Linked DNA regions of Mus musculus: region 2 is reported to be linked to region 1. Evidence: microRNA targets listed by miRTarBase, many of them from high-throughput screens and not tested one by one. Region 1 holds a microRNA gene; the other region holds the end of a gene's coding sequence. Distances are between the middles of the regions.
What was found. The annotated mature microRNA mmu-miR-292a-3p reads AAAGUGCCGCCAGGUUUUGAGUGU and lies in region 1 at 2,245-2,268, opposite strand. An mRNA with a match to its seed (bases 2 to 7 or 8) in the 3' UTR can be bound and repressed. Matches are read on the target gene's strand: a 7mer-m8 pairs with bases 2 to 8, a 7mer-A1 pairs with bases 2 to 7 and ends in A, and an 8mer does both.

Region 1 (3,125 bases):
AGTCCCCTATATCCTCCCCCACACCCTGCTCCCCAACCCACTACTTTTTAAAACCTGGCACCACCCCATTTCAGGTTAGCTTGTAACCATCCAGACACTCCACTAAAAGGAACTGGCCATGATGTATAGAAATGGAAAAGACTCACAGTATATAAACAAATGTGGGCTTAAATGTGGCTATGCTTAAAGGCACCTTTAAGCTAGTACAGGGTAATTCTTCCTTAAAACCATTGGAGGGGTGGCATGCCTAAATCCCAAGAGGCAAACAGGGGTGTCTCCCAAAAGGTGCCCTATTACTGTTGAAAACACTTCCAGCTATGTGTTGGTTTAACTTTTGGGGATTTTTTCAGACAGGGTTTTTCTGTATAGCCCAGGATTACCTTTAGTCTCAACCCCAGTGATTAAAAGGGTGCTTGCATGCTTGCAAGCTTTTTTTATCCCTAGGAACCATGGCGGGTGTTTTAAAACAAAAACTGAGAAAGCAGCAAAATCAAGAGAACAAGACTTTATTATTCATGTTTGGAGGCTGAGGGCACTGGTTGCTCCCATAGCACCTTGGTTCATTCAATAGCACCCACATGTCCCAGTTCCAGGAAACCTTCATCTGGATTCAGATACACACTACACATGCATGAAAGCAGCCGACCTGTGAATGGTGCCCACAGGAGAGACTCAAAAGTAGTAGCACTTTCTATGTACAGTCCAGAAGTGTGCCCCACATTTGAGTCTCACCAAGATGAGCAAGCAAGGAGTCTCTGGTTGATTGAAGTTCCGATGCTTTCTCCACATGGCAACACACAAAAGGGAAGCACTTTCCACTTAAAAGCTTAGATAGGGCCTCCATTTTGAGTATGGCTATATGGAATTTCGCTAGATCCAAACATGCCTACAACTGAACTGAAGATTAAGGATTATTCAATGCCAAAAGGATAAATGCAGCTATATGTAATACAGTACCTGTCAAATCTGGGTCACTTCCCGTGAGGTTCCGTGCACCTCAGCTTTTACTTTTGCCCCATTACAGACTGAATCATACCCACAGATGACACCCAAATGATGCAACACTTAGGCCAACTGCAGTTTCTCAATCGGCAACACTACAAACTCTGCGGCACTTCTTACAAAGAACAAAATGTCACACAGTTTGAGTACCACAGATTGAAGCATTTCCACAGGGACCTGCTGTGGTAATAAACCTGAAACTTTATAGTCAGTTCTTAGCCAGACCAGCCAGCCAGGCAGGTTGAAGGCAAGTAAGTACCCCAGGCTAGGCAGGATTACATTCAACTCAACTGGAACACCTGAAAAACAAAGAGAATCCATGAAGATTATGCTTAGGGCACACAATGTAACACCTGTAATCCCAGCCCTCATGAGCCTGGGCTATTGTAAAGCCAAAAGGTATTATGGGTATTATCTACCCGGCTGTCCACCAAGCTTGTTTGTGCTAGGAGCCAGGTTAAAGTCAGCTACAGCCAGCAGGTCCTAAAAATTCAATCCAACCATATCAAGACTCACAACCATCAGTCCAACTACAGTAGTCAAGCAAGATATAGCAACTACAGTAGTCAAGCAAGATATATAGGATCTTTTAATCCCAGGTGGATGGAGCTGAGGCCAGGCTGGTCTACAAGTGAGTTAGCTCCAGGACAGCCAGGGCTACAGAGAAACCCTGTTTGGAGAAAAAGGAAAAAAATTGAAAGAGGACTTAATATGGCGGCCACGTGAGATTTAAAAGTAGGCCTTTCTTTACTCAGACCTGAGGCTTAGACTCACCACCCCTGGACCTGGAGTGCCTCCTTCCACCCTGCCCTGCTTCCTCCTCACCTCCAGCCTTGCAGCTCGAGTAGCCAGTGGCAACGAATTCACCTCCAGCACACATACCTGTTTCAAGCAGGTAAGCGATTCCAGGTTGCAGCTGCAGCCGGCTTTTCAGACGCCATGTACACACAGAGACAAACAAAATGGATGCACTTTCCCGCCAAGCCGCGGAGAGGGCCTCCACTTTGATCGACACTGTATGTTCCAACTTCCAAGACCTGAGGCTCAGCTCCTCCGAGCGAGGCCCATGTGGGATCCCGGCTCCTTTATGAACGCGGAAAGCCTTTAGTACCGCATGCGCCCAAGTGTTCGGACTCAAACCCACATGTGACACCCACCTGCCCAGAAATGCAACCCCAGTGAAAACATGACCCACTAAAACTTAATTCTTAGTTCTTAGCCGTTTTGAGTTCTCAACCGGTGACACTCAAAACCTGGCGGCACTTTTCTTCCGATGAAAATCCAAAAGAGCCCCCAGTTTGAGTATCACAGGCTGGAGGTCAAGCTTAAGAACAATCTACAATGCACCTGGACTCACGACTGCCTTACATCCATCCGCGTCTCGTGGCACCCAACTGAACCGCCCTCTTTAGGATAGGACCCATTAAACTCCAAGCCTAAACCCCCACACAGGTTGTCCGCTCCTGTAAACCGATGCGTCAGATGCAAAGCTATGATGTTTTCCCCATGCAGTGGCACACAAAGTGGAAGCACTTTCTCATTCAGGCTCAAGAGAGGGCCTCCACTTTGATGGCCGCTACATAGGTGTAACAGCTCCAAGCAGCGACAGGACGCACATGGAGCCCCCAGGTACCCTACAACGACCACCTCAGTTACCGTCTACTGGGCAGGATGCCCATCCCTAGCCTTTCGCTATACTCAGTCTCATTCCTTTCTTCGAATCCGTACTCACCACGCTGCAGTTAACCCGGAACACGTGGCACCAGGGCTGGTAAATGTGCCAGATAGCCGTTTTCTCAACCGGCGGGGCTTAAAACTAGGCGGCACTTTTTAAAGAAAAAAAAAAGTGCCCCCATAGTTTGAGTACCGCAAGATGAGGCGGTCCAGACGTTAAAACATTTACCAGGAGGAAAGAACGTGGAGAACTTAAAATTCACTCCAACCTGAAGGAAACCTGGATGAAATCAAGGAAGAGTTAGTACATCGGTCTAACTCAAGGTATAGTGAAACTCAAAATTTCTACAATGAAACCACGTAGTTAATGAAATGTACTGCATAGACTCCCTAGACCTGCCCTCAGTAACTCCTAGCTTTGGTTTCTGGTCCCCAAACTTCACTCGCGC
Region 2 (3,074 bases), 110 Mb from region 1:
GAAACCCTGTCTCAAAAACCAAAAAAAAAAAAGAAAGAAGAAAATGGAATTTTAATCTGTTTTTGGAAGATAATTTTAAAATTATATTATCAAACTTGCTTTCCATCTATCCTCTTTTTTTTTCTCCAGCGATTAGATCACCTTAAGGTAATCACCAGGTAATTTCTTTTTCTTTCCCCGTCACTCCAGCTCACAGAAACCATGACTGAGAGTTTGGGGATCTGTTTTTTGACAGTGATTGGTCCTACTTTACCCAGTGTCTGAGTTAAACACTGACAGACCAGAAGTTAAAAGCATGCTTCTGCTGCTCTAGTCAGTGCCATTCATTGCATCACTTTTTGACTGATGTCTTACATTTTGTTGAAAAGATTCCAAGAAACCAATCCTTATCCTTTTTCCCCTCCTCTAGCTTGTATATAGTGGATACAGCAAAGAAACTCTGAGGCAGAGAGAACTTCAACTGAGTGTACTCAGTGCAGAATCACTGCGGGAGAATTTCTTCTTGGGTGGAATAACCCTGCCACTGAAAGATTTCAACTTGAGCAAAGAGACAGTTAAGTGGTATCAGCTGACTGCGGCAACGTATCTATAAACTTCCGACTTCTGAGCTTTGGAAACAAGGAGTTATAAATGTGTGCGCATGCGCACATACACACACTTGGGAACTTTGTATAATTTCATACTTTGGCAGAAATTATAAACTTAACATGTTGGACCAACTGTCAGTCATATGACTAACTTTTATAGAAGCCATTGCTATTTCAAAGTTATTTTGTTGAGTGCTACCAATCCCAAACTTAATATATACTAAGTCCTGAAAAAGACTTTGACATAATACTGTGTCATTTTGGTCACCTTGTCTGTACTCTTCCTACACAGACACAGCAAATTGTTTTTTGTTATGCACCTCACAGCCTTTACCACTGTGTATGTTCACAGACACCAAAGGAAAGATGCAGCTGCTACTCAACAGGCTGAAACGCAAAGCACAAATAGTAGTCAGAATGCTGAGAACTACTAAGTCGTTTATAGAATAGAAAAAAATACGATTTTTATTCATTGTTAAAGCCTTTTCAGAGTAAGTGCCAATGACTGAAGTTGTAAATAACAGTGCCTTACTTAACTACATGCTTCACTGGCACTCTACTTCTGATTAAAGAGCAAGTAGTTTTCATGCATTTTCACCTTACTGAGGACAGCAAGTCATGCACATTTACTAATGGTTTCTCCACAGAAATACTATTTCCTCTACTTCTGGTTGTTTTCACTATTAAGCTATTTAACTTAATGTTTATTGCCCCGTAATTGAATGAGATTGATATTCAAAATTAGTATTCTAAATTCTATCATTCCATTATCATTTGTAAGGGTGTGAACTGAAATTGGAGTTTCACTTCCATGTATTTATACTTTACTCCCTCATTAAACAAATGGAAATTGTTCAGCCTTATTCCCTATTTTGTTTGGTAACGTGCTCAGGCAGGATAAGGAGTTTAATTTAGACATTTATGGAAGGTGTTGTGTAAACTGTCCTGTATTTGGAAACATTGTACATTCACATGAAAGAATTATTTTCTGTAATATACTGAAATGAAAATTGCAAGAGAGAAGTGTGAAGTTACTGTGGAGTAGCCATTAAGAATAAGATTCATTTTTAAAGCCAGGCATGGTAGCACACGCCTTTAATCCCGGCACTTGGGAGGCAGAGGCAGGCGGATTTCTGAGTTCGAGGCCAGCCTGGTCTACAGAGTGAGTTCCAGGACAGCCAAGGCTACACAGAGAAACCCTGTCTCAAAAAATAAAAAAAGATTCATTTTTATTCCCCATTTCAGACATAATTTTGTTTAGTTTTGATAAACATGTATATATAATAAATTTCTTGGTTAGAAGTTCAAATATTTTTAGAAAGGTAATAGAGATGTAGCAAATTTGGTAGTTAAGAGAAAACTGACAAACTACTTAATGAAGGGTACCAAGAAAGGACAATCGGATTCAGTTCGCTAGAATAAAATTTTTATGAACTGTACAAAGTGATTGACAGAAATGATGATGCTTACAGAGTTAAATTAAGAGTTAAGAGTGTTATCATTGGAATACATTTTTTAAAAAAAATCAAAACTTGAAATATTTGGTGCCTAACACTATGGTCCATTTGTAGGGAAACCTGTATGAGTATGTGAATTTTTTATATTAAACTGTGTTGTCTACTTGATAATTGAAATGAAGATCTAAGCACCGTTGTTTGCTTTTTCCACAATTAACATTTCCTTAAATAGTTTTGCAGATGTAAGTAGCACTAGAATATTTTTTTTCTTTTGAGAGAAACCTAATTCCATTCCATGGGTCACCCAGACTTAAAAAAATGCTGTTTGTAAAAGGTCGTCATTGACTGGACTCGTGGACCTTTTTGTGATCTGTTACCGTGTATCTTAGCAGAAACAGAATTAAAAATGTAATGTCACTTCAGTGACAAGAAATCTGATTAATATCTAAAAGTATATATTATAAGTAATACTGTATAGTTAACAAGAATTCAAAAGGTGATACTGTCTCTTAATTTTACTCAATTTGTGCCTTCTTTGGTCATTAGAATACATATATTTTAATGTAAGTTATTTCTTTGTAAAATGCTAATCTTCAGCCCATACCAAAAAAACAGTGATAGGGAGGAAGAACGTAGCCTCTGTGCACTGCGGCTGCAGTCACCATAGTCAGCTGGCTTCTAGAGCTTCTTAACAGTCACCTTAAAATACATCGGAAAACGAGAACGCTAGACAGGCCAAGACACTAATGTTTATGTATATCATATTTATAACTACCTTCAAGTAAAAATAAGTCTGCTACATACAAGTCCTGTGCCAGAATTCTTTGTTCTTGCCAGTGCTCTAGGATCTGAAGATGATCGCTCATCCCAAGAACCTGTTTTCTCTGAGGAATCCAATGAGACTGGCACCAATGCTTTATATTACTGTGTTTATGGGAATGAGTTGTTAAAGCATGTGTATCTTTTTTAAGTACTTTTTTTTCAAATTAAAGTTGTATATAAAGTTCAAAATCTTGCCTTAAATTGTTTA

Region 2: the mRNA of Pik3c2a is a reported target of mmu-miR-292a-3p. Seed matches in the 3' UTR shown: 7mer-m8 at 1,691-1,697.

Annotation. Positions count from the first base shown.
Region 1 is chr7:3,218,381-3,221,505 of GRCm38, reverse strand. Mir292 (microRNA 292) reads right to left here and starts at 2,317; the gene lies at 2,236-2,317. Mir290a (microRNA 290a) reads right to left here and starts at 2,880; the gene lies at 2,798-2,880. It overlaps Mir290b (microRNA 290b), which reads left to right and starts at 2,811; the gene lies at 2,811-2,868. It overlaps D7Ertd143e (DNA segment, Chr 7, ERATO Doi 143, expressed), which reads right to left and starts at 2,722. Exons shown (of 1, transcript NR_028425.1): 1 at 491-2,722. It also overlaps Mir291a, Mir292b, Mir291b, Mir293, Mir294 and Mir295, and 1 more gene.
Region 2 is chr7:116,337,559-116,340,632 of GRCm38, reverse strand. It overlaps Pik3c2a (phosphatidylinositol-4-phosphate 3-kinase catalytic subunit type 2 alpha), which reads left to right. Exons shown (of 33, transcript NM_011083.2): 33 at 410-3,074. The coding sequence ends at 592. The region is part of intron 1 of Gm10589 (a long non-coding RNA gene); the gene reads right to left. Among named protein-coding and RNA genes, the nearest start is that of Rps13, 4.9 kb to the right of the region's middle.